Oryzias latipes: one gene and its partner. The protein of the gene in region 2 purifies or fractionates together with the protein of the main gene of each other region. This does not show direct contact. Links are inferred from orthologs where the notes say so. Each region holds a gene or a part of one and is shown on either strand. Other genes may lie near its edges. The genes, in order: dyrk1a and kiaa0232.

The links.
Region 1: the proteins of kiaa0232 (region 2) and dyrk1a purify together in Homo sapiens (affinity purification with mass spectrometry; 3 studies listed by BioGRID and IntAct, with this or other methods). This does not show direct contact. The link is inferred for Oryzias latipes from reciprocal best matches to the Homo sapiens genes KIAA0232 and DYRK1A.

What each region holds. Positions count from the first base shown.
Region 1 is NC_019871.2:12,319,973-12,332,321, reverse strand, and holds the start of dyrk1a (dual specificity tyrosine-phosphorylation-regulated kinase 1A), read right to left. Parts: upstream 7,228-12,349; 5' UTR 6,424-7,227; intron 5,842-6,423; exon of another isoform or gene 5,650-5,841; intron 4,722-5,649; 5' UTR 4,665-4,721; coding exon 4,655-4,664; intron 3,226-4,654; coding exon 3,029-3,225; intron 2,772-3,028; coding exon 2,679-2,771; intron 2,363-2,678; coding exon 2,174-2,362; intron 2,012-2,173; coding exon 1,864-2,011; intron 1,775-1,863; coding exon 1,488-1,774; intron 1,363-1,487; coding exon 1,216-1,362; intron 996-1,215; coding exon 855-995; intron 745-854; coding exon 441-744; intron 1-440. UniProt on the Homo sapiens protein: Dual-specificity kinase which possesses both serine/threonine and tyrosine kinase activities. Exhibits a substrate preference for proline at position P+1 and arginine at position P-3.
Region 2 is NC_019876.2:26,949,148-26,961,410, forward strand, and holds the start of kiaa0232 (uncharacterized protein KIAA0232 homolog), read right to left. Parts: upstream 8,003-12,263; 5' UTR 7,641-8,002; intron 4,584-7,640; 5' UTR 4,246-4,583; coding exon 4,009-4,245; intron 2,053-4,008; coding exon 1,912-2,052; intron 598-1,911; coding exon 528-597; intron 1-527.

The DNA of each region.
Region 1 (12,349 bases), on a different chromosome or scaffold from region 2:
TATTATGTAAGCAACATCAACACACTTAGATTTTCCTGATACCTAAAGCCAACATACAACCAGAAAAATGCAGGCTTTAAATAATAAATTAGAATTTCATCAAAAGTTGCTTTATTTCAGTAATTCTATTCAAAAAAGGAACTCGCACAGGTTTGTCACAAACACGACATAATTTAGCTGTTTATTTTGCTTGATCATAACACGTAGTCAATACAAACAACAAATTCCAAATCTCAGAAAATTGGAATATTCTATTATTGGCATGTCAAACTCTAAAAGATTGTTTTGAATCGCCTGCAATGGTTTCCTAAGCCTTTCTCACTATGCATCAATATAACAAAATAAAATAATAGTAACTGTTTACTAACCTTCTGGCTTATTGAAATACATCTTTTTGTGTCATCATAGTGCAGCTTTAAGAACCTTTAGATGGACTTTACCTGAACTGGAGGAGGTGCTGGAGGTGGTTCCTGACGACTGGGATTGCTCTAATGCGGGGCTTGTCGACACACTACTACTTGTATTGGTCCCCTCGTCCGCAGTCTTCTTGAAGAAGCTGTGCTGTAGGGCATAGTACGGCTGGATGCGGCTCTTGGGGTCATAGTCCAACATCCGGAGGATCAGGTCCTTGAACTTCAAGTAGTCAGCAACAGCGTGGCCAGACTCCCCTGCCCGTCGGCCACCAGGACCGCCCGTCTCCACACCTAAGATGGAGTGGAGCTTCCGCGAAGCTGGAGGCTTATACTACAAAGAAACCAAAGACATGTAAAGCTTTTTAATGTGCATATCAAGACATCAAACAAGACAGTTCCGTCATCAGCACCCATCAGTTGGCGTTAAAGCTGTCAACTCACCCTTTTGCCATCTTTGGTCTTCTTAACACTCCATGTACCATCTGAAAGCTTCTCAAAGAACTTCCTGGCTTTTGGGGCTAGGTCCATTATGTGATTGGGTGGGATGCCAAGAACCTCGACTATTTTGTTCATCTGGTCCACCTGAAGAAACCAAATGCATCTTTTAATAAGTATTTGCACTCATTATAAATGAGGGTAAATGTCAAAATGCTTCTAAGCTCTTGTAGGAACACACCACGGCTTACAAATCCAGTTTTAAGGGTACTTTTTTATTGAAGAACTACAAACAAGGTGACTTTTCGATATTCCTGTTATCAATAAGCTCCACATATGTCTTTGATATTTTTATCATGTTTTATACCTCATTGGCTCCACTAAATAGAGGCTCTCCGGTATGCATCTCTACCAAGATGCAACCCAAGGACCACATGTCGATGGCCAGGTCATAGGGCATTCCCAGCAACACTTCTGGAGAACGGTAGAAGCGACTCTGGATATACTGGTATATCTACAAACACAAAGCGTGGGAAGTGAGGGTGACTGTAAAGCGCATTGCTTTTGTTGAAAATTGCAAACCATTTCTCACAAACACACATAGACTGTATAGCAGATGAAATATATGATGGTAGATACCCTTTGTCCCAGTTGGCATGAACTGCCAAAGTCCACTATTTTGATGGCACTCCTCTTGGGGTTACAAAGGAGGATGTTCTCGGGCTTCAGGTCACAGTGGATGATGCTGAGCTCGGGGGTGGCCAGGAAGAGTAGTGCCGTGCATAGCTGCTGGGCAAACTTCCGGGTGAGATTGAGTGAGACGCCGCGGAAGTTGGTATTTCGAAGCAGGTCGTATAAATTATATGACAGCATTTCAAACACGAGGCAGAGATGGTTACGGAACATGAAGTGACGTTTCAGGTGGACTGCAAAGAAACAAAAATTGGACGCGTTAGTCGCTGACACTGCAAGCCGTTGGATTTGTTCTGTATGTGGGACATCAAAAGTAAATTACCAATATAGTATTTCATCTCCGTATCATGTTTGTTCATAAGCTCCAGAAGGCGCACTTCAATCTGGGCTTGATTAAGGAAAGCTTTCTTGTTCTTAATGATCTTAATGGCAACCCATTCTTGCTCTACTCGGTCATAAGCTTTCACAACCTGAGAATTGAACAAAACCAGTATTAAATATGTTAAAAGTATTATATCTGAAGCACATTTGTTACACTAAACATCAAGATTTAAAACCAAAAAAAGGAAGGTCAGAAAGCTGGAACCCCTTAGAAGTGGACAAATAACAGACTGTCAGTTTTAATTCCTCACCTGTCCGAATGATCCTTTTCCTATTAAGGAATCGATCTCATAGCGGTCCATCCACTTCTCCCCATTCTTGACGATGTAGTCATAGTTATCATCGTCATAGCCATCATTGAAAACCTTCCTCTCCTTTTTGTGACTGGAGTCTTCACCCTGACCCTGTTGGTGCCGCCGCTTCTTTTTTGCATAATAAACCTGAAAAAGAAAAAAAGAAAATTGAATGCATTTCAGAAAAGCACATGCAGAGATTTCTTCAGGAAATGTTAAATGTTCCTTTGGATTTTGCTCCAACAAATTAGGTTTTTCATGTATAAAATTCCTGTTTTTTTAAATGAATAATAATGTTTTTTTCTTATAAATTAAAAATATCTATCTTTATGAACAACAAATTCATAAAATAATAAAGACTACCAATTTAAAAAAAAAGAATGTTGAAATAGCAAACATCTTAAAACAAGGGGAAAACAAATGTCAAAGAATGATTTGAACTTTTACTAAAGCAAAGCCTCACCTCATTGATGTGTTTGTATGTTTTGATAAGGTCGATGGAGAGCTTCCTCAGGGGAGCTGAAGTTGGGTCACGAAAGCACTGGGGCATGTGCCTCTGAAATAAAAGTACAACAACATTTTACAAACAAACAAAAGAAACACAACTTTAGAAGTAAAAAGTTCCTCTTACAGGGTTTGTGTTTAAACTTCAAAGCTGTTAACACAATGTGACACAATTACACAGAAAGACATTTGACATGCAGCTACTCTGCCTAGTGATACTTGTTTAAAAAAAGGGAGCAAACTTTTGTGTGCAATTAAGTTTAGCTATTCCTGTAAATCCTAAAAGGGCAGTGGGAAGGGTGATTGTACCTGATTGGCAGTGAGCTGTGGTGTCTGGTCGCTGTACGGTAAAACCGTAACAGATTGGTCAGTGGTTGGCTGGTGGCGGTCACTGTACTGCTGGTGCGTATGGGGCATTGGAGCAGCCATCTGAAGACCAGCAGTGTGTAAAGAAAAAGAGGGCGCAAGCCGGACGGACGAAGGTTTGCATGCTGAAGTCTCTCCTCCTAAAAAGGAAATTAAAGTTCCCTTTAAAGTCATTGAACAGAGAAACATACAAAAGTGAAAAAGGAAAATAAAAGAGGTCATCAGAGATTTAACGCTACAAAGAAAGCCAGCAAGATGTATTATGTTATTTACAGGTAAAACAATATAATAAAGAAACATTATTTGTTGTTTAGATTTACAAAAAAAACTTCAGCTTAGTTTAAGATGAAAAGAAATTATCTATAGGAATTTATAAATGCAAATTAACAGCATTATTTACATTTGTGTTAATAATCAATCTCAAATGATGATAAACACCAACAAAAACAGCAAAATCTAGTAAATTAAAGAATTAAATGTCAGGTTTATACACAGTGCTATGTTAAACATGTACACGTTAAACAATGCAATCAAAGGACAACCCCAAAAAAATCAAAACACAGCAGAAATATGTCAACCTTTGTGAGGAAAAGGGGAAAAAACAGCCAGTTTAACAGTGAAAAGGGGTGAGAATACAGCATCTCCACACTGTACGGTGAATCATCCTTCATTTTAAGCCAGAAGGAATCAAAAAATTATTAAATAGCATGTTCAGCTATCAGCATCTCTCACCAGACAACACAATTCACCAGTGCTACACAGTAACCACTATTCAGAATCCCAGCAACAGCACCTAATTAGCATAGCCTATCACCACAGAGATACAGCGTGATTTGGCAAGCCCATCAACGCACAGACCAATCACAACGCAGTATGCAAATAGCCTACTTTTGTTGCCAGGGCAGAGCTGCTCCCATTTTCCAATGAGAAAACAAGAAATAAACAAGAAATAAAATTGAACTTTGGCACACTTAGACGTTGCTTTCAACACAAGAGCCTGACAGCAAAATAGCTGCACAGCCTAAAACCTGCACTTCATATGAGAGCATAAGAAAGCTGACCCAGCTTTAGAAAAGTAAAGAAATACCCGTCCACTGACAGAAATAAAAGGAGCTGTAAGATGAGCAGAGAGCAACACTATATTTGAGGTGCTATAAGGCGCTACGTATTTGACTTATTTTCTTATAAAATTTAAACACATAAGTGGGAGTCCTTTCACTTCTATTTTAGATATAGAGGTTATATTTAAACCTAAAAAAATTGGGGCTTTCTTTTATTTTTATTTGTAGAATTTCTAGTGCCCTTTAAGGCTCAAAAAGCAGCATTTTTTTTAACTGTACAAAAAGTGTGTTTATTTATTAATAAAGTAGCATAGCTATTTAAAAAATAAACTAAATAATCCTGATGGTCTCAATTATATGTTAGATCTTTATCTTCTAAAGGGAGACAAAAATTTGGAGAGGATAGATGCCAGATTGAATAAAACTGTAAGCGGAGGACAGAAGAAAGCCAAAAAATATTAAAGTCCCCCACCAAAGATGTGGTGGAGGAAAGTATACAGCAGCTAACCTGGATGCATCTTCTGCAAAATTTCATATCATCCTGGAAGGAGAGTCCAGCAGCAAACCACAACCCACTACAAGGAACAAAAAGACATTATTATAAGTTTACATTTTTGGTGGCTACTGAACTTTACTAGTAACTTGAGAAGAAGTGAATGACAGGACCGCTTGGGAGAGGGCCATCCAAAACTTTGCAAAGTCATCAGGGGTTAGCTGCATTTTAGGAATTCATATTTATAATAGGACAAAATCATCCATTGTGACTTTTAATTTTTAGAAATGATTACAATCAGTATGACCACCAAGTTCAATAGTAAAAAAAAAAAAAGCATCTAAATCTTCAAACTGAGCTCATCAGAAAATAGTTATGACACTAAATTAAATCAGGTTGGATATTTTTGTGGTTCCCTGAACTTATCAGGCAATAAACTATTTAAATTGTCACCTATATGGGAAGTTTTAAATACTTTTGAGAAGGAAAAAAGAAAGATGCATAAACAAAATCAAACACAGACACATTCTATTTACCTTTCTAAAATTAACAAAGAGCTGAAAGTTTGATTTTAGAACACTGATTAAACATTAAAGACAAATAAAATACTTTCTTAATTCAATGTGGACAAATAAATATAATTTTCTTAAACAAGTGAAGCCGATAAAGCATTTTGAAAGCAGTCCCGTCGCTGCTTCGGCGTCTTTTAAACGTCTTACTATTCTTTAGGTTCAGGACTAAGAGACTGAACAGTTCCTTCAGTAGCTGTGCTCATGATGCCATCAACGGGCTTAATAAAGCATGAATATAATAACAGTTAGCTTATATTCGGAGCGGTATAACATCACAAGTGATTGTTAAAGACCTATGGATCAAACCGGTGTGTCATCTTCTCACGCCCAACTGCTTAGATCCATTCCAAAGCGGAATCAGACGAAACCCATCTCTAAACAATTAAAAGCCCATCGTTAATCCAAACAGACGCTTTTCCCGAGAAATTCTTTACTTACAGATGATACGATAAATCTCGTCATGGCTGGAATTTGAGAGGCATGTTCAGAGTTAACGTCCGTTCTCTCTTTGTATCGCTAATGTAGGACTCCAAATCCCGGTGAGGATGACAAACGTTTATGGGCTTGCATTACAGTTAGCTGTCCGACTAGCTAACGTGCTCGTCGTTCCCCTGAAACTGCGGGATAGGCGAGCAGGTCTCTCACCACCAGCCCACCGTTAGCTAGTGACGCTGTGTGGAGCCAGCGGATTGTGGGGCCCATTCAAACTGGTTCGTCAACAAGTCAGCGTTAACCATTAGCCACGTTAGCCGAATAAGCTACCAAGCCAGGTTAGCCTCTGAGCACTGAAGCTCAAACCGCCCCCTTGTATTAATGTAATTACCCACCGCACTGACAGTAAGTCAAATCGGAGGCGGAACGTAACAGGGTCTCAATCATACAATGACAGTGTCTGATATAGCAAAGTTAGCAAAAACGTTAACACTGTGCAGACATGACTTCCATTGACTGCTACACATCATTTACAGCCGACATCAAGACTAAATCCGCCCAGCGTTAAAATCCGTCCACTGACCTACTGACTGGAGGCGAACGTTAACGCTGGCTTTACAGGAAAAAATGTTAGCTAGCCGCCACACCAGCTACCATCCTTGTCTACCGCGTCCATCATTGTTAACTATTCCCTCTGCAGAGTGAAAAAAATCCGCCGAAAGATGTAGTATCCACGCCATGAAACGATCATGCGCAACAGAACAGTTTGCGATTACTCACCTCTGATGGCACGATCTTCATTTAAAGTCCAATAACCTGTAAGATGAGGAAACTTATCCAGCTTGAGATTCTCCCCTCCCTGCACGGTTAGCGAGTAAATCCAATCTCTGTACTCAGATCGGCAAGCTCTAAAATAACCCGTCAGTCACATCTGGTATGCACTTCATGGCTCAAGCTTTAATGCGCAACATCCAAGGCCGAAATAACTTCAGCAAATGTTAATATTACCCGATGACAAGCAACATGCTAAGCAGCACGCATAAGTCAGTAGCTAACCTTAGCGAGCTGGCTAGCTGGATGACAAAATGAGCGCAGCTAACGTTAGCTACCTGCCCTGGTTGGCCTCAAGCTAACTATTCTAGCAACCGCTAAACAAACGTTATGCCAAATTCCGATTTAACGCTATCTTTACAAAATTCACATCGGTCGCTTCGACTAGTGCGACAATACAATTATATCCAGATCATGAAAACACAAACCATAAGCCGCGTCCTCTGATAATTTTGGTTAGGAATTTTGAGTCAATTTTCACAAAATGGCGCGCGGTCCAAACCTGCGCAGTGAACCGGCCCGGTGGACCAGAGACACGGACAACTGAGTTAGTGCGGCGCCGCCTAATTATTTCAGCTCAATTAAAACATCGGCCTCTTGACTTTCTTGATCCGATCCACTGTGCGCATTTCAACATCCAAAAACGTCAAACATATATCTTCTGACAGCATTATTCCGGCGGGAAGGGAGAACATTTGAAAAGACTGAGCAGAGGAAAAAAAAAACCTCCTGACAAAATGGCGATGCTCTAGCTTGTTCCCATGGCAACTGTCAATCAAAAAAAATGGAAGTACCCGGATGCACCAATGACGAATAAAATCTGAACTGACCAGAGTTCTACACATGTAGCTCGCTTGGTGAACCAGACAACATATTTTGTTAGATATTGTGTCTAGCCATGGCTTTATATATATATGTGAATTTTTCTTTGTATAGTCGTTTTTGTGCTGTTGCTGTGTCATACCCTGTTTGCTACCTCTTCAACCTCATATCTATCTATCTATCTATCTATCTATCTATCTATCTATCTATCTATCTATCTATCTATCTATCTATCTATCTATCTATCTATCTATCTATCTATCTATCTATCTATCTATCTATCTATGTATCTATCTATCTATCTATCTATCTATCTATCTATCTATCTATCTATCTATCTATCTATCTATCTATCTATCTATGTATCTATCTATCTATCTATCTATCTATCTATGTATCTATCTATCTATCTATCTATCTATCTATCTATCTATCTATCTATCTATCTATCTATCTATCTATCTATCTATCTATCTATCTATCTATCTATCTATCTATCTATCTATCTATCTATGTATCACAATTTTGTCAGAAATAGTCTACATTAATTTAGAAAATTTTAAAATATAAGGCTCTATTTTGTTATCTGTTTACAAATCACAATTGTATAAAACTAGTGATACCCATATAATTAAAGATTAATATCCTTTAAACTTTGAAAAGGTTTTAAAAAAACAACCTTATCCTTGTAAGTTTGAGTTATGCTGCAACAATAATCAAATGCTGCTTTTAAAAAGAAATTCCAGTTGCATGCAGTAGATTAGTACTGGCCACATTGCAGGAGATGTATGGGTGTTAACTTGTCACTGAACCAATTAATGCTGAATCAGTAGTTGGGTTAAGCATGTTCATTGTGTAAAAATTTGTGGTTGTAAAATTGTACAGTGCTAACAGTCCATGGTGAATTATTTTAAGGCCTTTTCATGCCCATATGCAAAAACTGGAATATAAATGTTAAAAAAAATTCTAACTTTTTTTTTAACGGATTTATAGTTTTTAATACTGTTAAATTTTAGACTTTAACCATCATGAAAGCCTGAGATGGAATATGATAAATTCTGCCTGTATTTCTCAGCTTTACTTGGTTAGACTTAAGTGAAATACCCTTGATTTTTATTACAGCTAGCAACCAAATCAGACAATAACAGCATTTCAGGGACACAAACTTCCTTGTTCATATTTTATATTGTGAAGCTAATTTGTAACTGACTTGTCGCAGAGAGGCGACTGGCATTGTTTCATAGTACAGTACACTTAACAATCAGATTGGTCAATCTATGCGCTACAGAGTCCAGAGCTCATGAACCCTGCTAATATTCAATTATTATTATTGTTATCTGTTGGTGCAAATTTTGATTGGTGTGTTGTGAAATGTGTGTTTAAATGACTGAAGATGCTTCTCAGCTGTCATGAGTCAGCTGAACTGGTGATTTGAGACCTTGTCCTAAGTGTACATTTAGGTTAAAGAAGATAGAACCAAACAAATGGAAAAGGGTCAGTAAATATGCAACATTCAGACTTAGCTAAATGCGGCTACATCAATGGTTATAAGCAAATTTGATACTAATTTCATTAATCCATTAATTTTCTGTCCATACAACTAAAAGTTTGATACAATAGTTTGTTACCTTTTTGTGTGTTGGACTGAAATAACCTTTATCCTGAGGGGCTGCTTACATTTATAAACAGCCACAAATTCAAGAGGAGAAACAATTACTTCTTTTAAGAATTCACTTTTTTCATACAAAGAAAATATAATTGATAGAGATATACTTGTTGCACATTTGAATTTGTGACTGTATTATCAGCAGTGAAGAAGGATTTTGGGACGTTGTAGGCTGCTGAATAAAAATATATTTAAAAAAAGACTTTTAAAAAATACTTTAAAATAAAAATGAAACTTTAAATGTTTTTCTAAAAAATGTCAAATTTTGTGCTTTACATTCCTTCTTTATCTTCTTAACTTTCTCTGCCCAGGTGTGTGCATGTTCTCAGAGCCTGACTGGTTTTACCTGCCTGTAAGACAACCTGTTGCATCTCTGGGGGACACTTCAGCATTAAACAGAGTTTTGCATACAAAAATGAATAAATAAATAAATAAATAAATAAATAAATAAATAAATAAATAAACTGGTTTATCTTTGTATTACTCCTAATATCTGCAACTTTTCCAGCCAATCAAAAGCAAAGTCTTGCAATACAGTAACTTCAACATTTCTTTTTTTGCTGGGTCAGTCCAGTTCATTAATCTTTTATTTATAAAATGTTTCACATTTAGAAGGATAAAATGTTTTAGTAAACTCATCGACGCGTTATAACATTTAGTAACTTTTTTTTGTATCAGAACCAATCATTTATGTGCAAATAAAAAACATTTCATGGGTCTCTGCAGCTTTATTGGATCAATATTATTTATGGTACATGAAACATATCACTCAATAGTCTGGTTGGAGTTGGATCTAGAGGAGAAATTGATACATGACAGGAAGATTCAATTCATTTCAATTTTATTTATTTAGCTCAATATTACAACAACAGTCATCTCAATGGGCTTCATACCGGTAATTGTATAATAAACATTAAATCATAAAGAAGATGAAGTCATACAATTCAATAGGTATTGGCTAAACTAAACTAAACAGACTAAACTAAACTGGGCATCCCTGTCCTTAGACCCTCCTTCTCGGTTTGTTATTAAGATGGTAGCTTAACAGATCAAAATGGACATCAAAGCAGTTTAGGTTCAAGAATAATTTTTGAAGCTTTGATTCCCAAGAAAGTTTCATTTACAGTTTGAAAGTTACCTGAGTTCAATATTTTATTTGTAAATAAAATCAGTCAAAGGCGGCTGAGAAGAATAAAAAATAATTCAACAGATCTGTGATTTTCAATTTGTCTGGGTGAAGTTCTGTAATACTGTATTTTTTCCCCCTAGATTCATATACTAACTGACTCAAATAGATCTATACGTAGAAGATCAATGCTCGCTTTAATGTTGTTTTGATTTTTCTTTTGACAAAAGATAACATTTACAATTGATGACTATCACAAATGGCTTATTCTGTTGCAGGACCTTGACATACCTGTCCAAACCACAGTTTTACATTATATCATGTTCTTGTAAATGAGCTAAGTTGGGTTAAACCGAAATAACACTCCATCATATCTCTAGGAATTTGGATCGTTGCCTGGCTGTGTGACAAAAGTAGAGATGAAAGCTACCTCTAACCTGCCCATCATTCACGCTTTTGACCATCTGGATGGAATCTGGGGGCCAGTCATAATCCTGCTCAAAACAATCAATGCAGGTAGAATACTTTTAACTAACAGCCAAAGAAAAGGAGTTGAAAAAGTGTCTGGGCAGGGCATCACCACATGGCTTCGTTGCTTATCAATAAAAAAAGGTCTAATTGTGGACGATGTACAAAAACCAAGTTAATGCCACTTAAAACTGCTGCCCTCTTTGTTATAGCAGCCATCCCATCTATCAGTGACTCCATTAAAAAACATTTCTGTTCATTACCAGCTGATTCACTTGCTAATTATTAAGACCCCAGATCAACCTTTACCTAAAATGTTCCCATAAGTGATCAGTTTTTTATATCTGTGAGCTGCAAAGGTTCAAGTCCCAGCTGGGGGACATGAAAAACACAACATCAATGGGGGACCTTTCTGTGTGGAGTTTGCATGTTCTCCCCGTGCATGCATGGGTTTTCTCCGGGATCTCCGGCTTCCTCCCACCGTCCAAAAACATGCTTCATAGGTTGATTGGCAACTCTAAATTGTCCACAGGTGTGAGTGTGAGAGTGAATGGATGTGTGATTGAGGATATTCTACCCTGCGACAGACTGGCGACCTGTCCAGGGCATCCCTTGCCTATACGCCCAAGTGGCTGGGATAGGCTCCGGCAACCCCGTGACCCCGAAAGGGAAAAATGGTCAAGAAGATGAATGAATGAATGAGCTGCAAAGGTGAACTTGTCTGCCTGGTTTAAGTGTTTGGCATCCAATGCTGATGCCTACTTTTAAGATTAGGATTTACTAGCTTCAAACTGTATGTATGTCAATGCAAAGTCTAATTTTGGGTGTTAGTGTGTGGGTATATAGCTGTCTTTAATTACTTTGTAAGGACCAGTCACCATTATGACATTATGGGGACACAGGCAGTTGTGAGGACATTTGATCTATCCCTTACAGGTTTGCCATCTGTTTGGAATTTTAGAGTCAGAATTGGATTATTGGTAGGGTTAAGGCAAAGGTTAAGCAGTCTTTTGTGATCGGTAATCTTAAAGTGCTTGTCGATAAACCTGAAGCATTGTGTTTATTACTGACATGAGAGGAGCCAGTGTGGATGCTCACTTGATTATATGACCCTTTTACAAACATTTATAGTCTTGTCAACAAGCTGGTCAGAAGTTTTTTATTTTTTGCATTTAAGGTAAATTTAATACGGGGGAAAGTGTAAATAGAGTTTAATTAAGATTGGGCTGCATAAATTATTTGAAATCAATGCTACATGGTAATTAAAAAGGCTGTGCCCACTTGGATGGTGTTTGTGTGTCAATGAGTTAGTACAAATATATTTCTAGGACAGTACAGATCATAGAGAATATAAACTCAGCTGCCACAGGTATACCTGTCCCACTGCTTGTTAATACAATATCCTAATCATCCGATCAGATGGCAGAAACTCAATGCATTTAGGCATGTAGACATGCTCAAAAGGATCTGCACCAGTTCAAACCGAGCATCAGAATGGAGAAGTAAGGTGATTTGAGTGACTTTTAACGTGGCATGGTCGTTGATGTCAGACGGGCTGGTCTGAGTATTTCAGGAACTCCTGATCCATTGGGTTTTTCACCCACAACCATCTCTAGGGTTTACAGAGAATGGTCCGAAAAAGAGAAAACATCCAGTGAATGGCAGTTCTGTGGGCAGAAATGCCTTGTTGATGTGTGATAACTCTTAATCTACAATATGAAGCCATTTGGATCCTGTTTTCTAAATCCCCCCCACCCCTCAATCTTTAGTCTAGGGGTGTTCAACTCCAGCTG
Region 2 (12,263 bases):
AGATTAGGCTGTTTTTTAAATAAAAAAAAAAACTGTGTTGTTTTCTAGGACAGTTTCTGCAGAGTGACAGTAGTTCATTATAAATTCACCTCTGAGTTGTGGGCGGGACTGTTGTCATGGAGTAAGCCTGCCCTTACTTCCCATCGTCCCTTTGTTTACACTCTCCAGCTATCTTACAGCCCCTCACACCCCCAATTGAACAATAACATTGCATCAAAAATGGCGAGCAATATTGAAGCTATCCAACCGTACAGTTTTAAGACAAATACCAGCTCAGACGAGGAAAAGGAAGACGTAGATGGATTTAGTCTGAGTTGGAGCAGGGAGGTTGTGACAACCGATTATTACATCTACGTCACAGCTACAAGCTTTTGCCTGATTCACAGCGATTTGAGTAAATAAATACTCAGAAAAAACATTTTAAGCTTAATTTTCCTAATATTTGTCCTCCATAAAAATCCCACAAGAACATGCAAAATTGGAGAGGTTCTTTCAGCATTTTTGTCAGAGCGCCACAGTTCTCAAACCTTTTTGCTTGTTCTGGATGTCCTTAAGTTTAGTACAGAGCTCTTCAACCAGACTCTCAATTCCAGAATTCTGCAAAGACAAAACGACATTAGATTTAAACAAAAAAACAAAAACAAATAATTCCTAATAGAGAAAATATCTTTAGATGAGTTTAGGCCTTTGAAAGGGCTGATCTATATTTAAACAAAATAATCTGTATGAAAGCAGTCTGCACGTTTTTGGCCTAGACACATATAGCAGTTAAAGGTGATAAAAAAACTGGCAAAGTAAGCAGCCGCACATAGGTCCGTTTAAGAATGCTCAGTAACGGCTGCGTTACATGTAGTACTGATACACATATACATATACAAAGCACACAAAAGCAGAATAATCACTTCCTTACTCTAGTCACTACAACACATTCTGTTAGCTCCCTACACTGAGAAGGAACTAATCTGAACAGAGCATTAGCAGATCTCTACAGTTAATATTTGGATTTGGCCTTTAGGTTTTTTCTGCTGGAAGCCCTTTCTGACTTAACCAGATTGCGGCCGTAACCCAAGATCGTCCCGTTCCGAAACTGGAGCAGCAGGCGGTGAATTTAAGAGCACGTGTGAGTGACTAATATAATCCAGCAATCTTTAATTGACAAAACCGCGAAATGTCAAAGTAAATGAGTGTTTCCTCTAAACAGCTTTTCCTTTTTTATAATGGTGCTAATGCTGATCAGCTGACAGCCTACAGGCTGCTGTGTGCTGATTGAAAACTAAAGAGCAGCAGCACTGCATAGCACTCCAGCAGATCCTTCCTCCTCCCTCAACTCAAAACCTGTAGGTCCAGTCCTGCCAGAGCACAGTTATCAGGACTATGAATGATCTGGAGTAGTCACGTTCCTTTAAGGGTTAATTGTTGAGAGCGTGGAACACCACTTCAGAAGATTTGAGCATTATCTGGTGTGACATGCGTGTCATTCTTCAAATATGAAGTATGAAAAAACAGCAGCTGCTTTTAAGACAGTTTGATGTTGTTTTAAACCCCTTGGGGTTTAACCATAAAATGTTGGGATCAAACCGAATGTTGACCCCAGAAAAAGACAAAAGGTAGAGTAATCCAGGCTTTTACCGATATACTTTGTTTTGTGTTCTTCCCTTTTACAATGCTTTGACTTAATGGTCTATTTGCTCTGATTGAGGCAATTAGGATCTGATTACATTAACAAGTCATTCCCTCAAATTCCTGACTTAATAAAAAAAAGCTTTTAAAAACCAGAAGAAAAGAAACGAGTCAAAGCCAAAATATTATGAAAAAACAGTAAAACTGAGAGAAAAAATTCTAAAGAAGCCGAACACTACGCAAGAGCATTATGTTAAGAGGTGCCAAGTTTACCAAACCAACAAATCTCACTTCATCAGATGCAGAGCGAAGGCATTGCACAGCAGCTTGCTTCTTCATTTCTTCCAGACTCAGGTCGGTTCCTCCTTTTTTCTTGCTCCTGCCCCATTTTTTCCCAGCTCCCTTCTCCCATCCCAGGAAGATGTCGTTTTCCTTTCAAAGAAAAGGCAAAGTCAAATATAAATGAATGTAAAAACTATTTTACAGATCAGAACTGGTTTGCAACAAAATTCAAGTTGAGGACTGCATTTCAAAATTGTAACTGCACAAAACAAAAAGAAAGTGGTTGGTGGTGCAATTTCCTTGGTGATTGAGAAAGATCTTATGTCTCTTTGCAGGGTCCAGACTCAGGTTATTCTGCAGGAAGCATCCCTGTGCAAAACTGAACATTTTCAGGGCACCAGAAAAAAATCACTTTCTTTCTTGCAAGAAGAATAAATCACACAAAGAAAGTTTTTCAAAAGCAAAATAATCTAAACTTGAAAAAACACTTCTTAGGGTTTGTTCAGACAGGAAAAGTCATTTTTGTCCAGATTGATTCTGTTTAATTTCGTCCGGATCAAGTCCCGAATTTTGCGTTTTGTCTGTATTCAGACTGGCATCAAGCGGCTCATTCAGACCAGAGCTTGCAAACAAAACCATGTGACTAAAGATCTCTTTAAAGATCCCACACTAAAGATCTCTTAGAACTTTAAATTTAGATTTGGAACGTCAGGTACAACACTTTTTACTTGTTACTTCGGTACGGCTGAGGCGTGCTGCAAGTTGGTTACTTGCAAGGAGACGTGCCGTGTGTACTTAAACTCAGAGGATGCTAGCAACTTAAGTAATGAGCAAATGTCGGGTATGGATGATAACTGTTAATGTTGAATAGATTGTGCAGAAAACAGTGAGAAGCTATGTGTGTCGAGTTCAAGTGTTTGTAACGAGCCTGAATACATATAATCTCATGTCAATGAGTTGATGTGTGTCAATGTTGTGGTGTTATGTTTTTAAAAGAATTGTTGAGGAAACTACAAGGTAGCCTTTAGGGTGACATCAAAGCATGTGAGAAGTGTTTTCAGCTGTTCAAATAAAAGTTCTAACAAATAAACAGTTGGACCTTTTTCCTGCTTGATAAAACAATGGTTGCTTTACATTTCTCAGCGACTTGTCCGTTGCTTCATTCCTACTCCAATCACGTTTGGGTTCAGTTGTTCTGCTCCGATGACGGATTCTATTCAGACTGAGGAATCACAGAGCGAACCAAAGCACAGTCCAATTGGAAACGAACCGAGACCACCTCCAAAGATGGGTCAGAGAGCGGTTCCTGGTCCCGGACCAGGGCCCACTTGGGCGTATTCAGACTGAAAATTTGTTCTGGATTATCGGGGGAATCTAACTCTAAATGTGTCCAGTCTGAATACACCCATGGTGACTAGATTTCTTTTACCATAATTTAAGATTTCTTGTTAAGACCATTTGTCATATCCCATTGGCAGAATTTTTTTTTTTGTGCTTATTTGAGGTAAATTTGCCAATGGAGTAAATGCTTTTGACTTATTTCTAAGGGCCCCGTTTTTGAGTGTGAAATCTGCAGTTAGTCAGTTCAGAGCTGTTTACAGTGATCTTTATAAAAACTGCAGACTAACCTGCTGCAGTTCTGTGCAGTTTGTTCCTCATACTGTCAGTATTTGTTGAGACCTAAAGTGTGGCAGGTTTGAAGCTTGAAGTCAGCAAACCGGTTCAACACTTGAAAATGTTTGGGTCCTTCAGAAAGCTCTAAGAAATTGCACTGGGTCTTTGGAAGAGTTGCACTTCAGCCTTTGAACACAATGTTCTCATCTGAATCGAGAGTGCAGTGTAAGCGAAGACTTGTGATAACTTCTATTGAAACTGAAACCTTTGTTTACACAGGAAAACTTCAGCAATAAAAAAAATTTCACAAGAGCGACGGCTTCTGCAACCCTGATTTCAAAAGCCTTTGTGCAACCACGCGTCACATTATCAGTGTCCCACACACCTTAGCTCTGATCCAGCTGTTTCAGTAAATATACATTAACCCAGCAGTGGAAAAAACAAAACTCTGTTTTTGCATTGTGACATATTTTTAAAGACTTTGACGCTCACCTGGTCCTGCAGGTCATAATCATAGCTGTCATGCAGGAGGAGGCTGAGAACGTAGCGGGTGTAAATCATAGCATCAATCCCACACTTCTCAAGCTCCTGGCCGAGCCAGCTCTGCACTGGACCCAGCGACTGGAGCAGGGACATCTCTGAAGGAGGCAGGGGGCCCACAAGAGGATAGGGGCAAGAGAAGTTCTCAGGAGGAGCAGGACCGTCTGAATCGGTGCTCACTGGACGCATGGGACCTCAGGTTTTGGCCATTGTCAGGCAGAGCAGCATTGTGACGGAGAGCGACGGTAGGGTGGCAGGTGAAGGAGGAAGGAGAAGGTAGAACTTTCCTGGAAGCGGGGAGGGGGCTCACTTCAGCAGGATGCACTGAAGGGGCTCTACATGGGGAGGCATGTAGGATCTTTTGTTTTTATTGCTTTTAGCAAAAAGAAAAAAAGGAAAGAAATTTCACTCGTGAGGCATGGCTTATGCTGCTGACAGATTCCAGCTGCAGAGGAAAACACAAGACGTGTTTAAGTCTCAGTCGGAGTGGTCCATGTTGGGACTCGGCCTTACTTCACCGGCATCAGCTGAAACAGAAGAAACAAGGAGTTTTTAAAGACTTTGTCAAAGTTGAGATAAAGTCCCACTTTAATCATCTTTTAAACTATTTTCAAAGTGTTCCCATTGGTCTTTAGATTATGACTATGCTGCTTTTAGCTAAAATTAAAAAAAAACTGTCATTTTCGAGAACATAGTTTCTGCAGAGCGGCAGCAGTACATTCGTAAATTACGAATGGAGGCTGCACCCTTTTGATTGGCTGGCCCTGTCGTCACTCAGCAGCAGCATTTTGATAACTACCCGCTGAAACCACGGTGAAGTTAGTTTTAGGTTGGATATTCGATGGACGTGTGCATGATATGGCGAAGATTTTACATCAAACCTAATACTAAATTACAATAAAGCATTTCCTCATGTTGTATTTATTCTAATTTTTCAATAGCTGTGTGACCATACCAACACCATACACAAATTTATTTTGCAATCACAGATGCTGAATATTTTATATGCATTTTTTAATTAAAATTTCAGAGGTTCACGTATGAATTCTGGCTTTTTTTTTTCAATAGCTCCCAAAATATGTGACCCAACTGTGTCCCGAATTGTGGCCCTGACACCCCCAACATCAGACACACCACTGTTTTGAAATTGTTGATGATAAATATTTTATATAAATTTTTGTATTAAAATTCTAGCAGTTTTAAAATGAATTTTGGCCATTGTGTTAATAGCTCCAAAACCATGTGACCCAAAAAGATGAAATGTATGCCGAATTGTGGCACTGGCATCCCAACAGACACTTGAAACAAAAAAAAAACATAAGAGCAGCAATCTCTGGCAAATAGCAGGAGAAAGGAAGCACAAAATAGTTTTGTTTTCTTGTCTCAAATATCACTCTTGACCAATGCACTGCACTCTCGTCCAATGGACTAATGGGATGCATTTGGACTCGTGGGGTCACACAGTTAGAGTAAATTGAAAAAATGGCCAGAATTCATATGGGAACCTCTGATAATTGAATATAAAAACTCATAAAATATTCTTCATCTAAAGCTGCAAAGAAAAAGTGGTGGGCATTATGTTGGGATGTCAGTGCCACAATTCAGCATAAGTTTCATTTTTTAGGGTCACATGGTTTGGAAGCTATTGAAAAAATGCCAGAATTAATATGCAAACCTCTGAAATTTTGATATTAAAAAATTTTCAGCATTAGGGTTGCACGATATGGGGAAAACTACCGATCTGCGATATTAGTGATCAATATTGCGACGACGATATAACTTGTGATTCATGAACAAATAGCAAAACAACCAAAAACATCATTTGCATTTCACTGCTACCGTTTCATTTAAATTAGAGGCCACGTAACCTAAATTACACTCCAAATGACCCTCGTCTACATAGGAGACGACCATCTAACATAAAAGGGCTCCGTCTGATTGGTCAAATGCATAAAGGGATTTATTTGATTTATTAAATACTTCAAGCTGCCATAAAATTGTTGATGCACATTTAAGTTTACCATTTATTGCAATTTTCACCTTCGTTTGTGATTAGCATATTGCACAGCTTGATATTGCGATAACAATAAATTTGCCATTTATTGTGCAGGCTTATTCACCATCTAAAATTGCAAAAATAAATGGGTGTGTCTGGTGTTGGTACAATTCGGCATACATTTGGAATCCTAAGGTCACATTGATTGGGAGCTACTGAACAAAATACCAGAATATTAACTTCAAACTTTTATTCTGTAGTCATAGCAAAATAAATAGGATCCTATGAACACAACTTGATGAACCTGTTTCATTGTAATCCATTTCTTTAAGCAAAACAGTGAGTCTAAGTTATGATCTAACATCACCCCATATCAGGCATTTGTTAATTTATTGACGGTCCCTAAGAGACACCGCTCTGGTTCCGCGCTGAATGTTTGTCGAAAATCCAACATAACTTCACCGCCGTCACCCGGTGAGGACGTCAAAGGGCGAGATAAGGAGCTCCAGTGTGCCATCATGACGTGTCAGCAATCCACACGGTTCTGTGGGACAGCAGCGAGTGCGTTAAACGCAGACGGTCAGGAGTTTATAGGTCTGCAATCTTGATAGAATAGTGGCTAAATATGGCTGACCAGTGTCTCCAAGCCAGCTGTTCGCGTGCGCATTAGCTCTGGTAGCTAATTTCTGCCTGAAGGTTTCCACACAACCCCTAAATGACCCAAGAATCCTTCCAACAGAAGCGGTCTTTTTGCCGTTAGATGGGAACACATGAGACTGGAGTGCTGTGGCGGGAATGTGCGAGTATTTTTTGCTGCGCATTGAAGTTTTGCGCAAAAAACGGACAGTTTACGGCAATAAATAAAACTGCTCCGAGTTTGAGGGAAAAGCCGCTAATAATACAACCTTAACTTTGGTGTGCAATTATAATGCCGAATTTCGTAAACGTCAAACGTAGTTCAGCGTCCGACAAACTAAAAGGATTTGCGTCACTGGCAGTCAAACGACAAGGTTAGCTTGACCACCGACCTTTAGCAGATGAGCTATGCTAGCTACATTAGCTTCCTAGCGCTATTCCTTTTCTGTCACTGTCCTCTTTATTTTAATCATTTTAATTAGCATGACGATAATTTTAGGCATTGGTCTCAGCTATCGCGTCATAATAACCCCATTTAATCCGGTTGTTTAGTAAGATAAATTTATCACGGGTTTTATAACGGCGACATACATAAACGCTATGACGGTTCTCCATAAAATAATTCGGAATAAACAAGTCAAGAGAACATATAATTCGCTTAAGTTTGTAGACACAAATGGAAACGCGGGAGATAAATATGGCAATGCCAAAATCCAAGAACTCTTTTAAAACAAATTCCAACCAGCTATAGCTAGCTAACGCTAGCCGTCACGTAGCTACGCTTGTTGTGATCAAGGGGGAGGAACGGCTTCCCGGTACCAGAGGACTGTCAGACGTTTTTCCCTGCGCCGTTTCGTCATAACTAAAAACACTAAGACTACTAAAAATTAAACACCAAAATGGCCAAGTGTGCGCGGAGACGGGAAGAAAGCCTGTTCGCCGGTTTACTTACATGCCGTGGGCTGAAGTCGAGCGAAACAGCGAAAGAGGAGCGGCTATCTCTCTCCCGCTGCAGTTCCGAGCTCGAGCTCTGGAATCCGCTGCGGTAGCATCGCGTATCATGGAGGACGCCGACAGAAATGGCGCTGTTTTCACATCCACCGTGTCTCCGACAGCAGCAGGAAAACCAGCCGCATTCGGGCTCCAGCCGACGAGAAGTCACCGACGGGCGGTGTGGACTAGCGAAAGCCACTCTGTCCGCCGAGAAAACCCAGTTTCCTTAAGAAACATTCCTCTGAATGCGACACCTTTCGCGTTTGTATCCAAGGCAACGGGGCGAAGCTCCGCCGTCCTGGGAGGGCTGGTTAGTTTCTTCCGCTGGAGTATTACATCACAAGTCCAAATAAGTAGTCCTTTTAAAATTCACACCCACGCTGAAATGAAACCAATACAGGGCAACTACAAAAATTAAAGTAAATAAAAATAAATTAATAATTCAGCTTGATTAATAAGAAAATAATCACAAAAGAAAAGGTAGGCTTTATAAAACTATAGAATTAATCCATCCAGCCCAAATATAAGTTCTTAATTTTAGATGTAATATTAATTAGCACAAAATGTCTGTACCCTTACTTGTACAACATTTGTCCACATATCAAAGTAAATAAAGTAAATCTATGTAATTTTTCCCTTACTTTCGTTTAATTTAAACAATAAATCATCAACATAAAAACTACATTTTACTTTGAAAGTCAAACTTTAAGTTTGTGAATAAACCTGTACTGTCATTGTAATGATAAATGAAACTGTTGGGTGGTTTTGCCTTGCTAATTTATAACAGTCAACAGCATCATTTTGGTTTTATTGTAGTAAATAGGCTGTAACTGATTCTATCTGGTGAGGATGCGCCAAACACATAAGCACACTAATGCGCCGTTTTTTAGTGTCCCATACAGCTACATTCCTGCAATGATAAATAAACACTATATAAATGCTTGTGGCCCTGAGACAAACTAGTGACCTGTCCTGGGTGTACTCCGCCTTCACCCAACAGGCTCCATTAACCCTGTGACCCCAAAAGGGATATGTGTGTTAAGAAAATGGATGGATGGACAAACACTTGTTTATATGTATATGTTTCTGTGTGTGTGTGTATGTATTTCTTGGAGCGAAATAAGTGTTTTCTGTCAAATTGGACCCTCCTCAGCAGATTTATCTTCATGTACAGAGATCTGCACCATGTCTCGCGTTCCTTTCTGGGACCTACACTTAATCCAGTTAATGGCCTCATTTTTTTCCTTGCATCTTATTTGTCCGTGAGCTCAGACAGAGCACCTTCATGCATTTTTTTAAGCATTCGCACATCTTGCCTTTTTGACTCCAATCTAACAGCCCCAGCCTCTCGTGTTCCTGTTCAGACTTTAACGTTGTAGTTTTTGATGCTGCTAATAGAAATGTTGTATTTAATGAGCTTCCAAAAGTCAAGAGCAGAAGTTTCGGTCTTGTAAATGAACCCAGCAACCTTCACCCCCTCCCTCAAAGCTGTGTGCACATGCACGTTTCATCTGCCTTCTCATCCTTGGGGGTCATGATCTGGGGACTAGGGTAAGTCCAAGCCTACAGACCAGCTGTTTGCACTACTCCACATTCTCCACATGGCAACTGTGTTGGCAGAGCTTGTGAACTTGAGGTGAGACTCAGGTGGCTTACTGAAATGCATTTCATACAACAACAGTCGTTCAAGAATTCTTAGGACCACTGAACACAAATACTGAGCCACTCATGATTCCCAACTGAAGCTAGCTCCTCAGACCCATCCACAAAATGACCCCTGAAATACATAATTTGGTTCTGCCTCACAGATTGTTGTCCTGGTAAGGTCTGACCAGAGTCTGACCAGAGTTTGACCGCCGCAACGTGCCCCAAAAAGTGACCTTTACGAGACTGCACCTCAGTTTGCTCGGCGCTTTGCTATCGGCAGGGTTCTCATTAACCAGAAGTCATCGTGCGGCAGATGGTACAGAACAATTAAACGAGGCCCGTTAATCTTCTCCCAGGAAGTGGCTTTGGGTGCGAGGCAGATGTTTCCTACAAAGATTCAGTTTATTTCACATCATTGGGAAATCCCAGTGCTGGCTGAGGGGCTTGTCGGCTGCTGCCCTGCACCAGGAGGATGGAGGCAGACGTCGGTGACGCTTGCAAGTAAATCACATGCAGTGCAGAGTCACTGTGACTTGTCGGTGTTAGTTAGCGGGTCATCATGTGATACTAACAGCTTTAACAGGTCCATACCAGAGCACGAGCCATCTGTTTTATGATATACATTTAAATTTTTTTGTGTTTATATCTGCTTCCTGTACACACAATCATGGCACGTACAATTTTAGGAGATGTTCCACTCTTCGGCTAAGAAGAAGAGGAGGAACATCTTCAAAGATTAAACCAAGTCCAGTTGACTTATTTTTATGGAATCTACCTGGATGAATTAGAATTCAATTAAATTGTATTTTTAGAGCCCAAAATCCCAACAACAGTCGTCTCAATGGGCTTCAATAACGGTAATTGTAAAGTAAACATCAAATCATGGATCATGAATACATATATTCAATAGGAGAATCCTAAACTGATCTAACTACACAGACTAAACTAAACTGGGCATCTCTGCCCTTAGACCACGTGTCAAACTCAAGGCCCGCGGGCCAAATGTGGCCCACCACTTCATTTTATGTGGCCTGTAAGTGCATAAAAGTTTTTGATTTCTTAGAATAAAAAATAAAAATTGGTGTGTATTTATTCATATCTAGGGGGAATCAGACTTGGCAACTATACATTAGGACTTAAACACTGTCAACGTAACTTAACATGACAGAATCAAATTTAAAATGATTCATAATAGATTAACAAGCAAACATATGTTTTTTATGCAACTGTAATTGTCACTGTAACCCTTGTGCTATCCTAGGCACTTTAACATTGGGAGTTGGGTCATCTAGACCCACTAGACAGTGCTCTGAACCTTTTTTCTTCAATGATTTGTGATCTTCACTGGTGTCCATGGATTACATGAAATCTTTCCACCTTTATCCACCTTTGTCATGGTAGGTAGAACACGTCAATATGAGGGTGGGGTCATCTAAGATAGCACAAGGGTTAGTTAACAACCGAAGCATTTATTAAGTAAACTGAACATATAAAAAATATTCAATTTTAAATTAAATATTTAGCTTGCTAACTAAATATTTAGTTTGTAAATGTAACATTTATAAATACACGAATTAAAAGGTGAAACTATGCATTTGAAAAATGAAACCTGTTGTTTTTCCTCCTAAAACCGGCTAAATAACCAAAAATATTGCCGTTGACATTTGACTGTGTAGCTTTACACATTTTGCACCCCATACAAACCACAGCTAACTGTGTGGTTACTTTGCTCAGAGATTGCTCTTAATACACACTTGTGTAACACACTTGTTGGATTAAATAGGTCAAGTCAGTATTAACTTAGTCAATAAGAGTGCAGCCAGCCTCCCCCTTGACACAACTCTAGCAGCCAGGAAGAGCTTAAAAACGATGGGATGCTCCGTCTGTTGTTTGGGGAAAAAGAAAGTTTTCATGGTTGTCATATTGATTGAAGTCATAGAGACAAGCAGCACGGAGGACAGGTCATGTGACCTCACAGACATGACTGGATCACACCCGCATGTCTTTCTATACTGCATTGTGGGCAGCCTAAGAGAAACTGATGTTAATGTGAGTGATCATGTGACAAACTTTGATTCTCATGACGATGCAATCACAGAGGCCCCCGCGCTGAGTGGGAGTGGTGCCACGCGAGCAGCAAACAGCAGCGGTCGTCACCTCCTGCTCACCTGACACACTTCTCGCAGCAACAATCCTTTTAGAGGTTATCTCTGGAAAAGGGCCGATGACAGCGCTGCACGTTAATCAAGGAGACCAGTCTGCATCAAAGGTCCCCCAGCCTTTATGACAGCAGCAGGACTGGTTTTTCCTTTGCTGATCTGTCTGCTGGACCCTGCATGCTTTCATTTTCACCATGGCAGCTGTCCAAATCTTTAAACACTCCACCAGCACAGAAAACTAGACTCTACGGGCAAATGTGAAGACTAAAAACACACTTTAAACCATCTTTGCATATCTGATTACCGGGACTTGACTTTGAGTTCTGAGGGCTCGCCTTATCATTATCACTGGTTGCTGCAGGCTTGCCACAACTTGTAGAGATATTTAATATGTATGCTTTTGTGGTGAGTCATGACATGAAATGCAGATTTAGTCAGCCGTTCCTTCTGTGACTCATGTTTCCTTCTAATCTGTTGCCACATACACACAAACACATTTAAATTTAGATGTATATTTTCCAAAGAATATATATACAAACAAACTGTAACATCTAGAAAATTTCAAAGAGAATCAAGAAATCAACTTTCAAGCATTTGAATCCATTTCTTTGCACTTCATTGAGGGAAGTATTTGAGCCGCTGGTAACCATTATGAGTATTACTGGTTCACAAAGATTAGTTTAGCCTTGTTTTTCACTGACCGCTTACTGTCTGGTCCGGTTTAGAATGGTCCAAGCAATTCCGGCAAGCGTTTCCACTCTACCTTGACCCGTCCT